Sus scrofa: one gene and its partners. The protein of the gene in region 3 purifies or fractionates together with the protein of the main gene of each other region. This does not show direct contact. Links are inferred from orthologs where the notes say so. Each region holds a gene or a part of one and is shown on either strand. Other genes may lie near its edges.

Region 1 (7,678 bases), on a different chromosome or scaffold from region 3:
CCCAGTCACACATATTTACATTCTTTTTCTCACATTATCCTCCATCATGCTCCATCATAAGTGACCAGATATAGTTGATTTTTGGTTTTAGGAGGGAGAAATGGACTCTGCCAACAATACTCCCTTGGGTACCTGTTTTCCCATTTTCAGCATCTTTGTCTGAGTGTCTTCCTTAGTTCTAACCCAAATCTCTCCCCGTGCCATTTAACACAGCATTCTTGGGTCCTATGCAGTGGACATGGAGAATAGCTGTTTGCCTTTCTGCTACGCCCCCATCTCCACCAGTGGAGTAGCCCTTCATGGACTAAGCCATTAACTAAGGTGTGAAGAAGTCCTCTGGCATCAGTCTCCCCATTTTTTCCTTGCAACTTCCAGTCATCTGCTTTTCTTGTACCTCCATGCGAAGCTGGGTCAAGTGGCCCATACTCTGATTCTAACCATCCTCAGCAGCTGATGTTTTCTCAAGACAAAGGTTGCCTTACCCCGCCCGTGGGGAGCCCATGGAACAGTAGTACAGCCAACAATGTCCAGTGCCAAAACCAGGGCTGATTTGCTACTGTGTGTCAACAACTTGGTAAATGCCACCTGGCTTTTAGTGACAAGCGTTCTCCCCTCTCCTGAAAGGATAACCCTCCTGGGGCCCAGCAGGAAGGCCTAAATATAATGAAGGCACTGAGAATAGTCTTGCCTAACTCTTTTTCTCTCTGGGAACATGGCTGGATACATGTGCATACTCCCACAGCTTGTATAATCATACATGTGTGTTAGTGGGGCATGTGCTGGTGGTAGTCAAGGGCTGAATTCTGTCTAACTCAGTAGTTTCACCTTTATTGTTTTCTTTTTTCTTTCTTTCTTTCTTTCTTTTTTTTTTTTTTTTTTTTTTTTTGGTCTTTTTTGCCATTTCTTGGGCCGCTCCTGTGGCATATGGAGGTTCCCAGGCTAGGGGTCGAATCGGAGCTGTAGCCACCAGCCTACACCAGTCACAGCAATGCCAGATCTGAGCCGCATCTGTGACCTACACCACAGCTCATGGCAACACCAGATCCTTAACCCACTGAGCAAGGCCAGGGATCGAACCCACAATCTCATGGTTCCTAGTCGGATTCGTTAACCACTGAGCCACAACAGGAACTCCCTATTATTTTCTTTTTATTCAACCTGAATAGTATGCTTCTCTTAGTACTTTGTCTAAGTCGTACTTAGTACATCTCTAAGTACATAGTCTGTATAAGCAGTACTACCTCTTAGTGATGTGTGTGCGTGCTTCTGTGTGTGACAGAAAAGGATGGCCATGTGTGCTTAAAGGAGATGCCCAGAGTTAGAGTCTCGAAGCCTCCGCTTTGTTGATCTCCTAAAGCCACTGGAACTTGGAATCAGGACAATTGGTTGGGCTCTGTCTCTTCACCTCCTAATATGACTTTGAGCAGATAGCTTATTCTTTCTGGCCTTTGCGTATGAGCCAGTGGATGGAAGCCAGCTCTGTTTTTAAATCATGACCAGCACTTACATGTTAATGTGAGAGAAAAGTTCTGTATACGTCCCAGGAGATATTTTAATGTCTGTGTTCCTAGAGCTGAAGCCTAGAGCAAACTCAGTGAGGGGGAGATAAAGTTTTAGGCCTGGGTTCGCTTACCCTAGAGACCAAGAAGAGTGAGTGGCCCCTGTGACCAGCTTGTACTGGTTTCACACCCCACTGAGTCCAGGGCAAATTGAAGTTGTTGGTCACCCTACCTGGATCCTCATACTTGCACAGATCAGGAAGCAAGGGATCTTTTTTTTTTCTTTCTTTCTTTTTAGGGCTGCACCTGCTGCATATGGAGGTTCCCAGGCTAGGGGTCGAATTGCAGCTATTGCTGCTGCCAGCCTACACCCCAGCTCACGGCAACGCCAGATCCTTAACCCACTGAGCAAGGCCAGGGATCGAACCTGCAACCTCATGGTTCCTAATCAATTCATTTCCGCTGTGCCATGACGGGAACTCTAAAAGGGATCTTTTTTAAAGTGATCTTTTAACTACCTTCGTCTGTCATTCATCTTTTTGTCTTTTTTCTTGCTCCTTCACCGCACTTCTATCTCTTTTTCAGGTCTATCTGGGAACCCTGCAGATCTGGAGAAACGTAAACAAGTGTTTGGGCAGAACTTTATTCCCCCCAAAAAGCCCAAGACGTTCTTGGAATTAGTGTGGGAAGCCCTTCAAGATGTCACGCTCATCATCCTGGAGATTGCAGCCATCATCTCCCTGGTCCTGTCCTTCTACCGCCCCCCTGGGGAAGAAAATGAACGTGAGTGTCTTGAAGAGCCTAGCACCACCCTGATCTGGGTCCTTTCCATCACCACCCAAAAGCACCTAGTCTTGGTGTTTCAAATTATAACTTAAAAATTTCCCCCGATTATCCAGAGGGGGTTCTCCAAAGGAAACTTAACAAGTAGCGAGTAAGCTAGTCTTCCAACCCATCCCGATTCCAGGGCCTTTTTCCCCTTCTCCCATCAAATCTTTGTTCGTAATGTCATGAATTTTCAACCCTCACTCGACCAACAAAGCCCCGAGTCTGAAAGTCCACCCTCCCCCCAGGTGTGTGACGTCATGGGAAGCAGCCTTGGGAGCTCCCATGCTGGGGGTCCTAAGTTCTTTATATGTGACTAGCCTGCAATGTGCATGGACATGTCTCATGCTATTTTGTCACGTGCTTCATTGGGGGTGAACATATATAGTTATATTGGTGAGGGGATGGTGACCAATCCTGCTGTCCTCAGCATCCTCAGAGGAAAGCCATTCTACCCAAGAGTTTTCTGTTATTCCCTTTCCCTCACTTTCTATCGGGGCAGGGGGCGGGGGAGGGTTGCAGAAGCACAAGCCTCCTTCTTAATGTCAGCAAAAGCCCGTGGTGACCCTTCCTCTCTCTCCTTTCCCTGGGCTAGAGTGTGGTCTACCCGTAAGTAGCCCAGAAGACGAAGGAGAGGCAGAAGCCGGCTGGATTGAGGGGGCAGCCATCCTATTCTCAGTGATCATCGTGGTGCTAGTGACTGCCTTCAATGATTGGAGCAAAGAGAAACAGTTCCGGGGGCTGCAGAACCGCATTGAAAAGGAACAGAAATTCTCCGTTATCCGAAATGGTCACATCATCCAGCTCCCTGTGGCCGAGATCGTGGTGGGTGATATTGCCCAAATCAAATACGGTGAGACCGCTGTTTCTTGTCCCTGTGCCACCCTCCCTATTTGAGGTTTAGGGCCTTTGCCAGTGTGGGGGAGCTGGGAATTGCCGAGGACCCAAAAAGACCCAACGTTGTGTTAGTTTTTAGGTTAGAGTTTGAGGAGGTTGTGGGAAAGAAGTTCAAAGAAAGCAGTAAATAAACCTCTCCCCAAAGATTTAACCTTGTGTGTCTTAGGTTAAAACTATGTAATACTCAGGGAGTTCCCTGTGGCTCACTAGTATCCCTGAGGGTGTGGGTTTGATCCCTGGCCTTACTCAGCAGGTTAAGGATCTAGTGTTGCCATGAGCTGTGGTATAGGTCGCAGATGTGGCTCAGATCTGGCATTGCTATGGCTGTGGTGTAGGCTGGCAACTATGGCTCGGATTTGACCTCTAGCCTGGGAACTTCTATATGCCTCAAGTGTGGCCCTAAAAAATTAAAAAAATTAAAAGTATGTAATATTCAGGCTATGGAAGGTAACTGTTTGAATACATAATACCTGAAGAAGAATGTTATCCCAGATTGTCAGAGCTGAAGTTGTCTTTCAAAGGCTCTGCAGATACTTTGTGGGCCATTGCCCTATAGGTGGGGCCTATGGGAGCAGCCCTGAGATGGGGTTAGATGGTCCTCACCCTCCAGCAGGTTCTAACCTACCCTCTTGCCCTGTTGCTCCTTCCCTTCTGTGTACTAGGTGACCTGCTGCCCGCAGATGGGATCCTGATCCAGGGGAATGATCTCAAGATTGATGAGAGCTCTCTGACTGGTGAATCAGACCATGTCAAGAAATCCTTGGAAAGAGACCCCATGTTGCTCTCAGGTATGGCCCCTGGCTATGCCAGTTCCCATTCTGCCTCCCCCAGACAGACACAGAGATCATATCCAGACCTCGTTCTCTCCTGGCCCTGCCCAATCTCCTGCCCCAAGTTCAATGGGGAAAGCAGCATATTAGTAGGTTGACTATAAGGATATCAGGCAACCTCAAAGAGGTTGTCTGCGAAGCCAGTGCTTTAGGGTCTGGGAAGGGCCCTGCTGGCCAGGCTTGGATGGTGGGAAAAGGAGCCTTACCCTAAAGCAGTTAGACACATTGCTCTCCTCCCCCCTTTTGCTTGCTCTCAAGTTCATGTTTCACACTAAAGTTTGGCTGGGTATAAAAGCCACTTATTGGGAGTTCCCTGGTGGCACAGTGGGTTAAGGATCTGGCGTTGTGATTGGCATGGATTCTATCCCTGCCCTGGGAACTGCTCTATGCTGCAGGTGCAGCCAAAAAAAAAAAAAAAAAAAGACCAACAGTTCTCCCATCTTCTTTCTCATATAGGGACCCATGTCATGGAAGGTTCTGGCCGAATGGTAGTGACTGCTGTGGGTATCAACTCTCAGACTGGAATCATCTTTACCCTCTTGGGGGCCAGTGAAGGGGAAGAAGGGGAGAAGAAGAAGAAAGGTAAAGGGGCTTTCGGGATGAGCATCCCTTTCCTCGCTCCCATCCGCATGGACAAACTAGGGAAGGGAGCAGATGTGGTTGGAGAGGACCTGGGTGGAAGAATCCGCTGGATGACGAGGGCTTGTATCCAAACCCCTTGCCAAGATAAGCTGTGCTCCCCACAGTGCGCTCCTAAAAATCAGATCCTGGCTCTAGGCTCCCAAACCAGGTTGCCTTTGAGCCTCGATTCCTGCATCTGTTGGTGGATTGTAAAGGAATGAGGTGGAGGGCCTGCCCCAAATGAGCTGGTGAGGGGTTCTGGCCCCAGACCCCCTCTGTGGAGTCCTCCGACCCTTCCCCCTTTCTTCCTCAGACATGGAGGATTATAAGCACCATCGAGGCTAAGGGAAAACTATCCGGGAGAAGAAACTGCTGAAACTACAGGCTGTTGGTGGAAGGGAGACGTGGCCAGGAGAGTGGGAATAGAGAGGGAATGTCCATCCAGGAGTTAGCTTTGTCTTTACCGTTCACTTGTTCCTGAAAGAAAAACAGAAGGCAAAAAAGATGCTAAAGCAAATCTACCCCTTTCCCTAAGCATTCCTCTTCCCTTGGCTCGTGGTCCATCTTGGGCAGTTGAGTGGAGGACAGTTAAGGAAAAGGAAACGAAACACATCTGCTCAGGAACTAGACTATTTCTGCAGCTGCTTGCAAGGGAGTCGGGAGGAGGCTTGCCTGGTGCTGGCGAAATGACATGGAGGCACCTTTCAGGGCCTTTGCCATCAGCCAGAAAAAGTCCAAACCTCTCACTTCCTAACCCCCACTGCCGTTCTCCAAGTGATGTGACGCAGGCCAGGAGAAAAGTGATATGACTCAGGCCAGCCGTGCTCCAGGAGAAGGCAGCTCGGAAGTGGGTGTGCGTGCTTGTGGATGAGTGGTCTGGTCCAGATCTCGAGGAGGAGCCCCTTATAGATGTAAACGGAGATGCCAGCTTCCACTGCAGTCCCTGCCCTGCAACTCAGCCCCTTTGCTGTCGCCCGTTTGGGCTCTGAGCAGGACCAGTCAGATTAAGAGATCTGACTGTCTGATCTCTTAATAGTCACTTTGGGTCTCCACCCCACTTTTTTCTTTCTTGTTCAAACAGGTAAAAAACAAGGAGCCCCTGAAAATCGCAACAAAGGTAACCTCTCCACCCACTCATTTACCATTTCTACCTGCCACACTCAAACCAGACCTTTCCAGGCCATCTGCCTTCTCCCTTTTCCTCTCCATAAATCTGTTATCTGCTGCTGTGGCCGGGATCCCTTATCCCGAGGAAGGTGCAGAGATTTGGGGATGGTCGCAAGCTCCCAAACCCAATCGAAGCTGGGACAACAGCACCCTCTGCTGTTGGCTCAAGGAACCTCATGTCAAAGTTTCTCTTGGGGGAGCAAATCTGCTCTTCCCAGGGTACTGAGCTCTTTGCCTCATTGCCCCATACCGGATTTAAACACCACAAGGCATCAATTTCTGGGTTGGAAGGCTTCAGGGTGCATATGGTGGAGGGAGTTGGGATGGGCAGTCCCTGCACCCTCCTCTTGCCAGCTTCCTCATCGGTGTCCTCTTCCGGTCTGGATTCCTTCTCTGCTCGTCTTCTCCAGGGTGGACAGAGCCCTTTCTACGTAACCTCTTTCCCCACCTCTTTCCTTGTTCTCTCCACAGTCTGTTTTCTTCCTCCTAATCTGATGTGTGTTTCTTTTTTGGTGGCCGTGTTTACATCCTGTCTCTGTCTTGTTTGTGAGTGTGACAACAGAGACAATAATATCTCAGGAAGGGCATCTAACCAAAGGGGTCAAGCTCTGCAGGGGTGAAGTTGGAGGGCTGTTGGAAACCAACAAGAACCACTCTCTTGAGACAGCGCCTAGAGATTTTTTTCCTTTTGTAACCCACGTCATGGTAGTCTTCAGAATAAAGTCATCACTTCGGCGAACCCAGGGCTCCACAGAAATAATTCTTTAATTTTAGATTCCTTGAACTCTTCTTTTTAAAGCAAAATGGATTTATGTCTGTCTTTATTCCTGCTTTCTCTTATTCCAGGGAGTCCCTCACACCAGCTTCTTCCCTTTCCCCCAGGTCCCACTCTGTATCCCCCTGCCTTCGTCAGACAGGGGAGATTTCCTTCCCCTGTCGTTCAGTTAACACAAGGGGGAGCTGGGAGATAGCCTGTGTTCTGTGTTTCTTCCATGACAGTCTAGAGAGAGAGAGATGCACCTTTTAAAGAGCTGACTAGGACCCCGATGCTCTGGAAACATCTACAGCGTCCCCCTTCAGCCCCTTTCTGAAGTAAAGACTCATTATTTTAAGCACTGAATTCCAGGAAGGATGGTTGTTGGTAACAGCACTTAGTGGCATGACTAATCCTCTTGCTGGAACAACGAACCTGGCCTGGGGCTCTGACGTAGTGCCAAGAAGCTGCCACTGAAGAGGAAATCCATGCCCCAAAAGTATCCATTTCACCTCTAGTTGTTCAGATATCATTCCCAAGGCCCTTATAGATGGTCGAAAGGCAAGTTCCCTGTCTGGCATGGAGTGAGGGTGGTCAGACCTGAAGTCAAGGCTCCAAGGTATATTCCAGGAATAAGACGGAGGGTTTGTTAGTTTCCACCTACCTGCTACGCAGTGCTACTACCTGGCCTACTCACCTGTTCTGTTTGTGTGTACACCCTAGCAAAGACTCAGGATGGAGTGGCCTTGGAAATTCAGCCACTCAACAGCCAGGAGGGAATCGACAATGAGGAAAAGGAGAAAAAGGCTGCCAAGCTGCCCAAAAAGGAGAAGTCGGTGCTGCAAGGCAAGCTGACGCGCTTGGCTGTTCAGATTGGGAAAGCTGGTAAGTAGGGTGGAGCCCTCTCGATGCTGTTCATCGGTGCTATTTCGGATCCTTGCTGCTTTGATTGTCTTCTTTCTACACCAACCAGGTCTAGGAGAAAGAAGCTGAAAATTGCCAGTGGCTAGTGCAATCTGGGTAGCTAAGTCCCTCCCTGTGACCATGTGGCCGTTCCCTTGGCGTTTGAAGAAAGAGATATTTTC
Region 2 (8,339 bases), on a different chromosome or scaffold from region 3:
TCAAATAGGGATATTGGCTGAAAAACTATGATATATCCACATAATAAGATACCATGCAACTGTAAAAAGGAATGCGGAAAGGGAAAAACAGGAATGAGGAAAATATCTCCATACACTGCTAAACAGTGGGCTCTAGCAGATATTAAGTAAAAACAAGCTAAGTGAGGAGTTCCCATCGTGGCGCAGTGGTTAACGAATCCGACTAGGAACCATGAGGTTGCGGGTTCGATCCCTGGCCTCGCTCAGTGGGTTAAGGATCCAGCATTGCGGTGAGCTGTAGTGTAGGTTGCAGACACAGCTCAGATCCTGCGTTGCTGTGGCTCTGGCGTAGGCCGGGCTACAGCTCCAATTCGACCCCTAGCCTGGGAACCTCCATATGCAGTGGGTGTGGCCCTAGAAAAGGCAAAAAGACAAAAACAAAAAAACAAAAAAAAAACCCCGCAAGCTAAATGAAGACAATGTTCATGCATGTTTCCTTTTTATAAATAAGAGAGGTGGTTCCCATTGTGGCTCAGTGGTAATGAACCCAACTACTATCCATGAGGACTTGGGTTCCATCCCGGGCCTCACTTAGTGGGTTAGGGATCCAGCATTGCCGTGAGCTGTGGTGTTGGTCACAGATACAGCTTGGATCTGGTGTTGCTGTGGCTGTGGCGCAGGCTGGCAGCAACAGCTCCAAATCCCCCTAGCCTGGGAATATGCTGCGGGTGCAGCCCTCAAAAGGAAAAAAAAGAAGAAAAAATGAAGGTAACATATCCACATATTTAAAAAAAAAAAAGAAAGTAGAAAAGGGAGGAAATAGTTAAAAAAAAAAAAGATGGATCTCAATGTATTATCAGGAAAAGATGACAATGACAACCTGACACATCACAGGAAAATGTATACAATTCAACCAACTTTGGCCAAGTTTGTGTCTGTAACCCAGAATAACCTGAGGCAAAAAACTGGGTGTCAGCTGCCTCTTCTGTAATACAGGGATGGTAACAGTGTTTACCTCCCAGGACTATTCTGAGGAGGAGTTAGTATACATAGTAAACATGAGATAAGTACAGCTACTATTTTTATTGACCTAAAGGCTACTGCATAAGCAGTAAATAATCTGAGGAAGGTGAAAAAGATGCTTTCTATTTATTTATTTGTCTTTTGTCTTTTTAGGGCCACACCCGCAGCATTTGGATATTCTCAGGCTAGGGGTCGAATTGGAGCTATAGCTGCCAGCCTACACCACAGCCACAGCTACGATGGATCCTTAACCCACTGAATGAGGCCCAGGATCGAACCCGAAACCTCATGGTTCCTAGTTGGATTCGTTTCCTCTGCGCTATAAGGGGAACTTCAAAAGATGCATCTTTTAAAAGAAACACAATATGCTGTACAGAGTAGTTAATTCAAAAGGTATCTGCTGAATGAACACACCAGTGTCCTTTCCAGTCTCCGTGCAGCCTATCACGGCCACATCTCACTTAGTCAAAGCCTAGACTTTATGTGATCTGGCCCCTCCTATCTCTGCCCTCATTTCTCTCTGCTCTCCCTCCTTATTTCCTTCAGGTCTCAACTCAAATATCCCAGCAGTGAGGTCTTCTCTGACCATCCTATTTCAAACTGCAATTTCCTCTCCCTCTCCATCTGTGTCACTTTGTTTTTCTCCATGGCATTTATTATCATCAACACAAACATGTTTATAGGTTCTCAGAGATTTGTGTGTATGTGTTGTGTGTTCACTTTCTCTAGCCCCAGCATGGAACACTGCTTGGCATCTAGTAAGTGTTCAAGAAAAATCTGCTGAGCAAATGCCAAAGGGCTTCAACCATCACTGGGCTTGGTTAGTATCCCTACCTTTTGGCTCTAAAATGCGTGGGGAAAAACAAAAGAAAGAAAAACAGGTAATACTTATTGAACATTTAAAATGCGCTGGGCACAATTCTAATACATATTAATTTATTTAAACCCACAACACCAACTCTGTGAGGTAGGCACTCTTTTTTTTTTTTTTTGGTCTTTTTAGGGCCACTCCTATGGCATACAGATGTTCCCAGGCTAGGGGTCCAGCAGGAGCTGTAGCTGCTGGCCTATACCACAGCCACAGCAACAGGGGATCCGAACGACATCTGTGACCTACACCACAGCTCAGAGCAACACCAGCTTCTTAACCCACTGAACAGGGACAGGGATTGAACCTGAGTCCTCATGGATACCAGTCGGGTTCATTACTGCTTAGTCAGAATGGGAACTCCTGAGGTAGATACTATTTTTTTTTTTTTTGTCTTTTTTTTTTTTGCTATTTCTTGGGCCGCTCCCGCGGCATATGGAGGTTCCCAGGCTAGGGGTCGAATCGGAGCTGTAGCCACTGGCCTACACCAGAGCCACAGCAACGTGGGATCCGAGCCACGTCTGTAACCTACACCACAGCTCACGGCAACGCCGGATCGTTAACCCACTGAGCAAGGCCAGGGACCGAACCCACAACCTCATGGTTCCTAGTCGGATTCGTTAACCACTGCGCCACGACAGGAACTCCTAGATACTATTTTTTAATTGTTTATTTATTTTGTCTTTTTAGGGCTGCACCCACAGCACATGGAGGTTCCCAGGCTTGGGGTCTAATCAGAACTGTAGCTGCTGGCCTCGGCCACAGCCACAGCAACACCAGATCCAAGCTGCATCTGAGACCTATACCGCAGCTTACAGCAACGCCAGATCCTTAACCCACTGAGCAAGGCCAGGGATCGCACCCACAAACTCATGGTTCCTAGTCGGATTCTTTTCTGCCGTGCCACAACAGTAACTCCTGGGAACTCCCTATTTTTAATCTCCATTTTACAGATGAGGAAATTTGAAATTCAAGTAGGTAAAGTCACTTGATCAAAGGCTCACGACTTGTAAGATGCAGACCTAATGGGGTGGCTGCAGAATCTAGCCTTCTCACCACTGTGCTGGACTGCTTCTATAAAAAGAACTGCTTCCCCACCCCAGGTCTGTTCATGCAAGTCAAACGGTATGGCCACCCAATAATCCAGTATCTGCTGCTCCCCATCAGAACATAATGAACCTTTTTACTTTGAACCTTTCCACTCTTTTCAAGATGAGACTACATGGATCCACCCAAACTTTTTACCGTGTCTTTCCTCTTCCACTTTTTGTTTTTTTTTTCCCCAAAACGTATGCACATATTTCCTTTTCTTTCTTTTTTTTCTTCTTTTTCTTTTTACACCCACTGCATATGGAAGTTCTCTGGCCAGAGGTCAAATTGGAGCCACAGCCATGGCAACACGGGATCCAAGGGATCCAAGGGGCATCTGCGACCTCCACGGCAGCTTACTCCAACATCCTTAACCCGGGATCCTTAACCCATTGAGCGAGGCCAGGGATGGAAGCTACACCCTCAAGGTCAAGGTCAGGTCCTAACCTGCTGAGCCATAACCAGAACTCCCTCCCCTCATTCCTTTTTCTTTCTTTCTTTCGTTTTCTTTTTCTTTTTTGCTGTTTAGGGACGCATCCACTGCATGTGGAAATTCCCAGGTTAGGGGTTGAATTGGAGCTGCAGCTGCCAGCCTATGCCACAGTCACAGCAACACCAGATCCAAGCCATTTCTGCGATCTACACCACAGCTCACAGCAACGCTGGATCCTTAATCCACTGAACGAGGCTAGGGTCAAACCAGCATCCTCGTGTACCCTGGTCGCGATCATTAACCGCTGAGCCACAAAGATAACTCCCCCTCATTTATTTTTAACAGTTGCATAATATTTTATTATGTGACTGCTCACTGCCCCCCAACCCCGCCAGTCTCCCTACTAAAGACATCTGCGGTGGTTGTAGTCTTTTGCTACTACCAACAAACATTTCTTCCTCTTCCGGATCTCTGGAGCACTTTTTTTTTTTTTTTTTTTTTTTTTTTTTTTGCTTTTTAGGGCCGCACCTGCAGCAAATGTAAGTTCCCAGGCTAGGGGTAAAATCAGAGCTGCAGCTGCCAGCCTACACCATAGCCACAGCAACGCTGGATCCAAGCTGTGTCTGATCTATGCTGCAGCTTCCAGCAATGCTTGCCTCAACCCACAGGGCGAGCCCAGGGATCGAACCCGCATCCTCACGGATACTAGGTGGGTTTGTAACCCGCTGAGCCACAACAGGAACTCCCCCGCGTATTCCTTAGGGAGTCCAGTAGGAAGTCCCACTGCCCTACTCCCACCCGGGCGTATGACCACTCCTCTCATACACAGAGTGGTCCCATGACTATCTTTCATTCATTCAACGAACATTAACTGAGCATTTTTAGCGTAACCGTGCTGTGCTGGGAACACGGCGGTGACCAACACACACCCAGTCCCTGCCCCCGTGGAATTCGTGGTCACAGACAGAACTAACGAGCCACACAAATAAAGGCCCAATAACAAACGAGACCCCAAATGACTGAAAGGAAAGGAACAGGGACCCATGAGAGCATAAAACAGGCGGACTGCGGAACGGAGGGCGGGAAAGGAGGGCTTGGTAGAGGAAGTGACGTTGGTACGGAGACCCAAAAGATGAATGGGAGTTAGCCTGGCGGAATGAGTAAAAGGGATGTTGAGACAGAGGGGACTGCATGTGCAAAAAGCCTGAGGCGGGAAGGCGTACGGCGAGTGTGCGGAACCGAGAGGCCAGAGCAGGTGTGCAAAGTGAGGAACCAGCAAAGAGGCAGAGCCGCGGCCCGCGGGGCGTACGCGCCTTGGGGGCCACGTTGGAACTTTGCCCTGAGGGCACTAAGCAGCCACGGGAGGGTCCTGAGCCGGGGAAGACACTGCGGTCCCGAGAGTCACTGCTTCCCTCTCCTCTCAGCGTCCCCATTGCCCCCGACAGCGCTTCTGCCCTTTCAGCGTTCTTTCTCCCTTCGTCCCCGGGCCCCCACGCCACCCCCCGCTCACCACGGCTCGGGCCTCCGTCCCCCTCGCGCCCCCTCAGCAGCGCCTCTTCCCAGACGCCGCCGCCGCCATCTTCCGCTCGCCGCCGTGACACTGCGCACGCGTCCCGCACGCAGAGTCGCTGGGAATTGGAGTCCACTCTGCGGCCGGACTCCGCCCCTACTTTCTGCCGCGCCAGCGGCCTTCCTACTACGCCCTTCATTTCCGGCTTTGGGGCGCCAAGCCTTCTGGGAAATATAGTCCTTTGACGGGGGCTGGACGGAAAGGGAGATAGAGGCTTCTGGGAAATGGAGTTCTCAGTGGTTCTGGGTCCCTGGACGGCTGCTGTTAGAGAGAGCGGAGAGTCCCGGAAGCGAAGCTCCTAGGTGTTGGAAGTGGTCTGTTGCCCTAGTGAGATATGAGCAGAGGCCCCGATCCCCTCCACCTTTGGTCTTGGCCATTTACACGGTCTGCAACATTTCCGGCGATCAGTAGCTTCAGTCTTCCAGTCCGTCGAATGAGAAATGTGATTTCGAGGATCACTTACTGTCCTTAGAGGAACACATGGGGATCTCTGGAGACCGCTTCGCCTCTAAGCGCCCTTTCTTTCGCAGCAGACATGCTGGTCTCTGGCTGTTCGCTGGCTCCGGTCGAGATGGGTAGAAGGGTGGGGCCCTAGAGTTCTGCCCTCGAGGCTGTTATTACTGTCAGAAGTATCTCCCATCTGTAGCTCCCTCGCTCTTCAGCCATCTCCAGCTCTCACGTCCCCGGGCTGCGGCTCCCGGCGCCTGAGGTCTGTCTCCTCGCAATCCCGCAGGGGGCGCCCCAGTACGGGCACACCGCCCTCGGGGAGGCGGGAGGGGAGCCCAGGGCGGGCAAGGGCGGGTGGGGGGAGCGGTTGTCTCGACTATAAAGCGCGGCCGCCTCCCGCGGCGCCCGGGACGGCTGGGACCCTGGGCGGTCGGACGGACCGGCGCCGGTCAGGACTCGGGCCGTGCCGGCTGAGGGATCCGAAGCGCCGCTGCGATCCCCCCGGGGCCGGAGCAGGGGCGGGTGGGGGCGCAGGCCCGGGGGATGCTGGGCTCGGTGAAGATGGAGGCCCATGACCTGGCCGAGTGGAGCTACTATCCGGAGGCGGGCGAGGTGTGTCCTCGGGGATGGCGGAGCGGGAAGTGGGGGGCGGGGGGAGGAATCAGGGTGCGGATCTAAATGGGGGGCAAGGACTGGGGTATGGACTCAGATGGGGGCCCCGACTGGAACTGGGGAGCAGAGGAACTGGAGACACGAAGACCAGGTGTGCAGGAGTCAAGAAAGGGGGACAATGCATGAGAGCGCGGCTTAGGCAGTCTAGTAGGAGTGAGGGCTTAAAAGAGAGTCAAGAAGATTTAGGCAAGGGTCAAGTCATAGTTTAAACGTGAGAGCTGGGTGTCAGGGACCTAAAGTCCGAGGAATTAAAGTGAACAAACCAAAGATAAGACTCAGAGCTGGGGGATTAGGAAATGGGGTCCAGAATTGGGGGAAAAGGTAGGGACTAAGAGATGGGAGGTGGAGGGAGGTCACCATTAAGGGAAGTCTGAACTGAGAGCTCAGGGTTAAAGTTCAATGTTAAAAATGGGGGTTCTGGGGTAGAAATAAGAATTGGGGTTCCAGGATAAGGATTGGGGCTGCCATCTGCTTTAAAGTGAGACGTAGGAGTTGGGGCTCAGATAAAGAGATGAAAATGCTTAGAGATGAAGCTTGGTTTGGAGAGTGAGAAATAACAGGTGATTTAGGAACTGGGGCTCAGTTAGAGACAGAAGGGGTCAGAGTTGGGATCCTGAGAGCAGGGGATGTGGCAAGAGCATTGGCGGCAAAGGGGGGTAACACTCCCCCATCCCTAATCATGACCCTCACCCCTCCCAGCTGAACTTCAGAGGTTTAATTGTTATTAGAGACCCTCAGCAGGGATTCTCCTTGTTGGGAGTCTGGAGGGTTTCAGATTTCACACCCCCCACCCCATCTTCCAGCAATCTCCACTAATTGCTAATGTCCTCACCAGTCCCACCTCTGACCAGACTTCCCTGGAGTAGGGAGCAGGGGTGTATCTTAAGTTCCTCGCCCCGGGGAATGGCGAAGCCTTCCCCGGTCTAACTCCCATTCCTCTCGCTGCAAGGACTCCTTCTCCTTAGCTCACTCTCTCTCTGGTCAACCTGATGTATGTATGTGTGTGTGAGGCAGGGGGGGAGCCCTAGTCAGAGGGTTATGGGGATCTGGATACTTGGGTTTCTAACCTGGAAGGAAACTGTAGGCTCAAAGTCGGGTGTGGGACTTGAATAGTTGAGTCTCCAAAGAGACTAAGATCTAGGGTTTCCAGGGGCCCCAGCGTGTCTAAGTCCTGGGTCTGGGGTTTGAAGCTGTAGGGTGGGACTCCTGGCTACCCAGGCCTGCGGACCTTGGCATGGTGCCCAGGAGGGGCCAGACCTGGGGCTGAGGAGGTGTGAGGTGCACGTGGGGTGGGGCAGGGAAGGGATCGGAAAGGTTGAGAAGTGGAGGCAGGGTGGCTGGAGATGTCAGTTGCATGTGGAGGAAGGCAGAGACCGGGTTGGAGGTGGACGCTCCCAGGTAGTGGGGGATCCCAGCTGAACCCCCACCCCACCCGGGATAGTTCACAGTCTGGGGACATGATTTAAGGGTACCGACCACAAATCAATCTTTGGGGGACATACCTTAGTAAGTAAACTGGGGGGGTGGTCTGGGCTAAAGGAGTCATTATTTGGGGCACAGTCTGAAGTTTAGGGGACAAGTTGTATGGAAGTTGTCTCTGAAATGGAGGAACAGTCTAGAGATGGTCAGCACTTGGGGGCATATTTTGGAAGAGTTGACGCATGGGGGGCAGGAAATGGAAATACACCGTCTGAAGGTTTCCTCAGCTTTCCCATCAGAGGAACCATGTCCCCCACCTCCACCCCTGTCACAACAGTGCAGGGAGAAAAGTACTCACCTGGCGACTGAGAACTGAGGGGGCCCCCAACCTGCTTCTCGCCCACCACAGCCCCCTCCCAGGGTGATGTTGACCCCCCAGGCTGGCTCCCTGTCTGGAAGGAAATTGGCAAGTTCTCTCTAAGGCGTCAGCTTCTCACAGATCAGCTGGTCCAACTGCTTCCCCATTTTCGAGATGGAAAACCTAAAATCTTGGAGCCTGGGGTCTGCAAGACCCCACATGAAGTCTTAGGCCAGGACTGGGATTCGAAACTAGGCTTCTGGCTTCACACTGCCTCCCTCTGCTCCCCGTCACACCCTCCTTCGGAGACAATAAGGAAATGAAAGAGGAGAAATTCCAGCCTCCTGGGGTGGGGGTGCAGGTCCCCTGAGGGCTTCCCCCAATCTCAGCCCCGCCCTCGCAGGGAGATCCGGCTCAGACCCGGACACTGGGGGTTCATCCCAGCCCTGGGGCATGTGAAAGCCTATGGTGGATTAGGGCA
Region 3 (6,453 bases):
TTAAAAAGGGAAGCAAAACCCCCGAGGGACAGGATTCTACACATAGAAAACCCTAGCTTCGTTTTGTGAAAAAGAAGAGAAGATGTGTGATTTGAACACACAAGGTGGTTTGCTTTTGCTGGGCGGGTTTCCTTAAGAGGAAGGAACGTGGGGTTGTGCAAACACCAGGGGAACACCAGGCTCCTCCAGACAGGCTGGCGTGCCCATGCAGACTCATGCTCAGCACCTGCAGGAAAGGAGGGTGCTCAGACCCTAGCCCAAAGCCCTGCCCCCGCCCTGCCCCCCCCCCCGCCACTCACCTCTCAGCTGGCATTTCTCTGGCGAACGTTCTTGCCTTTGTCATTCACGTGGTGTCCACTGCTCTTCCTGGGGATGCAAGACGGCGTGTCAGGACAAGACACCCTTAACTCCCCCCTGCCCCGCCTACCAGAAACACCCCAGGTGTGCAGGGGAAGCTCCTCCAAGCCCTGCCAGGGGCACACCCGCCAGCCCCCCCTACCTCCACAAGCCCGAGACTCACAGTGGAGCAGAGCCGGTGTCCTCATCTGTGCAAGGGGCAGCACATGCAAAAGAGGAGGGGGGAGTTAGCAGAGCAGGCCCTATGCTGCCCATCGAACACGTGGGGATCCGGCACACCCCTGTGACAGGCACCCTCAAGTGAGCTCTCCAGGGTAGCAGCATGAAGGGCACCTGGGAGGGCTGTCTGTGTCCCCAACCCCAGCCCGCAGGCAGATGCCCCGGTCCCAGTTGCCCCATCATGCAAGGTCTGGGCTTGCTTGGCACCACAGCCCTGGACCCCAAGCAGCCACACAAGGGCACTCACCATGGAGGAGGCCCACTGGCAGCCCAGGAGGGAGGAGAGAAGGCAAGTGAGGCTGTGTGGCCACAGACCCTCAGCCAGGGAAGGGGCAGGGCCTCCGGGAGTCTCCGGGACAGTGGCCGAGGGGGCTGACCCTCAGCCCCACACTCCAGGCCGCCGCCCTAGCCCCATGGTGTCCCCACCCAGAAGAGGAGCAGAAGGCACATAGGGCCAGCTCACCATCCAGGACCTCATCCGGCTTCCGCCGCTTCTCATAGATGAAGATGACGGTGACCAGCACAAGCACCTCAGCCACGATGCCCAGGAAGGGCCAGAGGGCGGCAAAGCGGTTGCGCACACGCAGCACGATGACCGCCTGGCCGGTGCCCTCAGAGCTGGTGCCATTGCACGCGTACTTGCCCGGGTCCTCCTTCAGGTCCAGGTCTGGGATGTGCAGCTCTGTCTTGGTCTCCGAGGAGACCACGAAGAACTTGTTCTGGGAGCTGTTGGCGATGACCTGGGGGCAGGCAGATGTTGTGGAGGGCCGCAGCGGGGCTCAAGCCCTCCCTGGCCGGTGCAAGCCTCACCTGGTCCCCAGAGTCACTCATCTTGTACCATAGCCACTCGGTGACTGGCGGGAAGGAGTCCGACTTGCAGGCCAGCACCACGGTCTCCCCCTCGGTAGCGTGCTCTGACTTCTTCACAGCCTTGACATTAGGTGGCCCTGCAGGGAGAGCAGGCAGGAGCCTAACCAGGTGGAGGACAGAGGTGGAAACACCCTGCCCCCATCTGGATTAGGATTTGCGCATGCGTCCCTCCCGCACCCCACCTCCCCTCCAACACTGCCCTGCAGAGCCCAGGGGAGCCCACCCTTCACTTCCAGGTCTGTGCGGCCCGCGTGCTCTGGCAGGAAGATGCAGGAGTACTGGCCTGAGCGGTCGTCTGAGTCCACCCTGTAGCAGACATGGTATGAGAGAAGCAGCCTGTTGAAACCTCCACCGGACAGGCAGCCCCAGAGAACAGGGACCAGGGGTGTGCGGGGCAGCAGGCAGGATCACTCCACATCAGGGAGCCTGGCCCCACCACCCTCCAAGCTCATAGCAGTGTTCTAGGCTTCTGGAGCCACTCCTCGTCCCAAACTGGGTGTCACATTGGTCCCTGGAGTGCCCAGACCCCATCTCACAGGAAGGAGGGATGGGTTTGAGAGGTGATGAAGTCTTGCAGCCAGCTGCCCCTTGCTGGGTCCCAGACCTCAGCCCAAGCCTGTTTCTAATGTGTGCAAAGCCAGGCCACAACTACAACCTCCAGCCTGGCCAAGGCCTGGCGGCCAGGAGAGGTCAGAGCAGGCAGGGCCAGCAGCCCTGACCCCGCCCCATGATCAGGCCCCAGCCCCTTCCCTGCTGGGAGGGCCTCACTCACTCAAACTCTGTCCTCAGGTCAGGCAGCGCATCCTCCTTTAGCACCTTGCCCCCCTTCTCCCAGCGGTGGCCCGCGATCTCAGTGGCGCTGTGATTCAGGGCACAGGTGAGGCGTGTTTTGGAGCCAACATCATCTATCGAGGTCCAGATCCTGCTCCCTGGGCAGCCAAAGATAAGGTGAAAAGGGAAGAACCCAGGCCACTGGCTGCTTGTCCCCATGGCAAACCCGAGTGGTCCCAACCCCGACCGCACAGAGGGAGAAGCCAGGGCTGGTTCACAGAGCTGAGCACTGTGGGGCCCCTGGAAGGACCTCCCCTCGGGGTCAGAGGCAGGATTCTGGGAGGAATGGTCTCAACTGGCTGGGCCTAGGTGTGGGAACAGAAGCAGCGCCCACCCTGGTCTGGGTACAAGGACCAAGACAGTGACTGCAGGGTCCAGCGCCAGCAGACCCCAAATGCCCCTTTGGAAAGTCAGTCTACTGCTGCCCAGGTCACCATCCCCTCTGGGTGGCGTTGCATCTCCCCTCCCCTGATCAAGGCAGGCCGTCTGAGGTGGGTCAGGTGTGCTGTTTCCTCCTGCCTGTGAGGCTGGGGTGACCCCCAGAGCCTTGGAACAGCCGGCAGCCCTTCCACTGGTTTCTAAGCAGGTAAACCACCCCGTCCTCGAAAATGTTTTCTTTAGGAACCAAAACATAGAAAACACTTAGAACTAGACAGTAAGAGACATGGCTATGAGAGCTGAGAGACTGGGCTTGAGCTGGGAGGATTCCTCTGCAGGGAGGGCCCTGGGGCATGAGACCCCAGACCTCCATGTGTTTGGGATCAGGAGAGCAGATCAGAACAAGAACCCTTTTGCCGGGCAGGGCTGCAACCCCCATCAGTGGAGTAGCCACACTACAGCCCTGTCCCAGAGCAGACAACACTGTCCCTGGGGACGGTGGGGACTTTATAAAGGTGGGTCTGAGGCACAGCAGTGTTAGCGCAATTGTTAGCCTACCCAGAAGTGACCCTCTGGAAAGGCCACCCACCCTCACATATCTCAGAGGCATCCCCTGGAGAAGGTCATGGACACAGGACACGGGCTGAGAGCCAGCCCAGGAAGAAGCCTGTGGTGTAAAGTCAGGTGAAAGAGCAGAATACAAGCCTGTACTTGAACAACCCAGCCAAGTAAGAAGGCACTGAGGGGAAAGCAGCTACAGGGACACAGACGACAGGCCGGCAGCCAGGCAGCAGCTCTTAACACCCACTGGGCAAGCCACCCTCCCTAGGTCCTTGCTTCCTCCCTGGGGTTACATGGTGACTTCTGACAGTGTAACTATGCGAGCACAGAAAAAACACACGAAACTGGGTGGAATGATCAGAGGTCGTGACCCCCACTTGGACAGTCACCTTAGCCACCTGGCAGTCAGATCAGCGAACCTCAGTCCCGAGGAAAGATATCCCCACAGCAAGAGAAGAGGGTACCTGGCTGCAGAGGATACCAGGTTCACACTCACACATGAGCAGGGCTGGCCTGGGCTCCCTCCGTCCACAGGGACGCCTTAGCTGCTAGGAAAATGAAAGCCCGGATCCCAAGCCAGACTTTCCCATCAAGCCACTTTCTGGAACGGCTGCAGACAGAGTGCACTGTGTCCTCTTCAGGCATCTGAGATCCGGGCCTGGAGGACATGGGTCCTGCCCAGGCCTGCCTGTTAGGTTCTTGCTGGGCTGACCATGCTCCACTCTGTCCCACTATGGACTGGCCACAGGAGGGCCCTGGCTCCCCAGGTGCATTTCCAGCCTGCGGGACGCTGGCCTCTTGGTGTAGAGGTGGGACCCAAGGCCAGCCCATGGACAGGATGTGTGCATGGCCAGGCCTCAGTGCCCCACCTCTGGCTACCCACTGGGTCTTTCTTTAAGAGAAGACAGGATGTCTCAGAGGCCCAGGTCAGCAGGGACGGAAGCAAAAAACTAGATGGCAGTGCCAGGGGGAGAGCAAGGAGGCCCCTAGCGGTCCACACCTGTAGCTACTTGTGTATACACACATACACACACTCACAGGCACGTGTGCTCAGAGTTCCCAGGCTGTGTGGGTGAGCACAGCTACTGGCCACAAGGTCCTGGGGACAAGCCGACCTTCACATCTGCCCACCTGGGGCCACCAAAAGGCAACTCAAGCCTCAGGCCAAGCAGTTACAGCCAGATAGGGCATGAGGCTGGATGCTCACCTCTATACCACTTTCACCAAAGAAGGCCCCCTGGCAACCTGCACTTCTCCAGTCAAGATTTCCCAAGACTGCAGAACCAGCAGCTCCTATAGCAGAGCTGGGATTGGTGAGCAGGGTAGGAAGTCAGGCCAGAAGCAGCCCTTCTCCCAGACGGGACCTGCCTCTCTCCAGGAGACCTGGGCACCCAGGAGCTTCTAGAAAGATTAGTCAGGTCTTGTCCAGGCCCCACCCGGCCTCCTGGGGGAGAAAGAAGTACCTGCAGGCCACTTTTAGGTGGCAGTCAGGTGGGAGGCCTTAGCTCTAAGAGAGGGGCTGAGAGCTAACCAACCCCAACCCTCCCAGGAGGGGCCTCCTGGGCTGCCCCATGGCTGACACCCCTGCCCTCACCCAAGGTCCACAGACAGCTGGGGAACCAGCCAGGTGCCCCATCTGGCCACTGCCAGCCTGTCCGCCCAAGAAGCCCCCTGTGATCTGCCACATCCCAGTCAACCATAAAACAGGGCCGGGTCACTCCAAGTAGGCTACTGTGGCGGTGGCCCTCCCAGGGTGACCACAGAAATGCTGCCACAGGTGATGTTACTCTGTGACACTAACAGGCCACTGGACAGGACCATTAGGAAGAATGCCTCAGAATGCTCCTTGGAGTGAAAAGTACAACCTCAGCCACACCGACCCTCCAGGAGGCCCAAGGCAGCAGCACCCCTAGAAACTAGAGGCCCCTGGCCATGGGCAGCAGCTTGTCCTCCCAGAGCACCAGGAACAGGGAGATGCCTGACCCTCCTCCCCAGAAAAGTGAAAACTCAATTCTGGCCAAGTGACTTGTAACCCACGTTCTCAAGTAAAGTCACCTTCATCTAAAAACAGCCACTCTCCTCCGTGCCCACTTGGTGGCTGGGCCGGCATGAGGCCAGGCAGCCTGGCAGTAAACAGCCTGAAGTGTTCAGGATGCGGCAGCTAGGTAATGGAGAACATTCCTGGGATACCAGCCTCAACTCCTTACCCCCCCAACCCTGCTTGGAGGAGGTTCCCAAAGCCCCTTAGCTGAGGCTCAGAGGGGCACCCAGCTAGCAAGCCTGTGCTGGTCTCCCCAGCCCTCCCAGGACGACAGGACCCTGCACAATCCTGGGGAGCCAGGGTCTCCTACAGGAGGATCATCCTGGAGCCTCAGGTGACAAAGGTGCTGAGGACACCACTCCTGGCAGAGTCCTCCGAAGCAAGTTTCTAGAGAGCTGACCTGGCCAGGAGAGGCAAACACTGCCACTCACTCACCCCAGGTGGAAAAAGGACCCATGACCCAGACGTTTAGGTCATCCCTAGTCCCTGGGAAAGGCAGGAAGTGAAAAGGGAAAGCTAAGGCACAGACACAGCATAAATTCACCAGGACTACCAACTGCACACACCCCAGGTGATGTGCGTATTTGAGGACAGCCCCAAGGTGATGACAGAGGAGTAGTGCTCCCAGCAGAGGAAGATGGAAGGCCCTCCCTTCCCTCTGGCCAGGGCTGCATCTAAAGGGCACTCATCTTGCCTGGGGCTCCTCTTCCCAAAGAGAGCAGGCAGCGCGCCTGCCAGGGGCCGTGCCCTTGCCCAGAGGCGGTCAATAAATGCCCATTGTGATTATAAGGAAAAGGAAAGAAACTGAGGCCTTGAAGTGGGTCACGGGTAACCCACTTACTGAAAAGCTGGTGAAGCTTTTACAAGAAGCAGCCCCTCCCAGGCCCTGCCCAGCCCTATGCAGTTTCCTGCTATAACAGCAGCCACTGAGGATAGAAGCTGGCACACTCCTGCTTCCCCCAGGGGGAAGTCTCAGGCCCAGCTGGTCTGCACTTTGTTCTCTCCCTGCCGCTCACTATGAATTGTTAACTGAGAACCAAACGAAGTCCCCATCGATTCGGGAAGAAAATGTCTCCCTCTCAGGCAAAAGAGAGAATGGGAGGGCTTGCTTTCTCCGGGGAAAACACGCCTTAATCCATCTTCCAAAGACCATTCTCTAAAACACGTCTTCCCACCCCACAGTCTACCGCTCCTGT

Evidence for each region.
Region 1: the proteins of BSG (region 3) and ATP2B4 purify together in Homo sapiens (affinity purification with mass spectrometry; 3 studies listed by BioGRID and IntAct, counting the BioPlex papers as one, with this or other methods). This does not show direct contact. The link is inferred for Sus scrofa from reciprocal best matches to the Homo sapiens genes BSG and ATP2B4.
Region 2: the proteins of BSG (region 3) and SYMPK purify together in Homo sapiens (co-immunoprecipitation; 3 studies listed by BioGRID and IntAct, counting the BioPlex papers as one, with this or other methods). This does not show direct contact. The link is inferred for Sus scrofa from reciprocal best matches to the Homo sapiens genes BSG and SYMPK.

What each region holds. Positions count from the first base shown.
Region 1 is NC_010451.4:64,400,248-64,407,925, forward strand, and holds part of ATP2B4 (plasma membrane calcium-transporting ATPase 4), read left to right. Parts: intron 1-2,084; coding exon 2,085-2,282; intron 2,283-2,919; coding exon 2,920-3,177; intron 3,178-3,883; coding exon 3,884-4,009; intron 4,010-4,507; coding exon 4,508-4,633; intron 4,634-5,753; coding exon 5,754-5,789; intron 5,790-7,316; coding exon 7,317-7,478; intron 7,479-7,678. UniProt on the Homo sapiens protein: Calcium/calmodulin-regulated and magnesium-dependent enzyme that catalyzes the hydrolysis of ATP coupled with the transport of calcium out of the cell. By regulating sperm cell calcium homeostasis, may play a role in sperm motility.
Region 2 is NC_010448.4:52,175,298-52,183,636, forward strand, and holds the start of SYMPK (symplekin), read right to left. Parts: upstream 5,086-8,339; 5' UTR 4,903-5,085; intron 1-4,902. Other genes in the region: FOXA3 (hepatocyte nuclear factor 3-gamma), read left to right, coding at 5,953-6,021. UniProt on the Homo sapiens protein: Scaffold protein that functions as a component of a multimolecular complex involved in histone mRNA 3'-end processing. Specific component of the tight junction (TJ) plaque, but might not be an exclusively junctional component. May have a house-keeping rule.
Region 3 is NC_010444.4:77,736,129-77,742,581, forward strand, and holds the end of BSG (basigin precursor), read right to left. Parts: intron 2,376-6,453; coding exon 2,219-2,375; intron 1,753-2,218; coding exon 1,670-1,752; intron 1,524-1,669; coding exon 1,387-1,523; intron 1,317-1,386; coding exon 1,040-1,316; exon of another isoform or gene 839-1,039; coding exon of another isoform or gene 824-838; exon of another isoform or gene 546-823; coding exon 521-545; intron 367-520; coding exon 303-366; 3' UTR 300-302; intron 227-299; 3' UTR 156-226; downstream 1-155.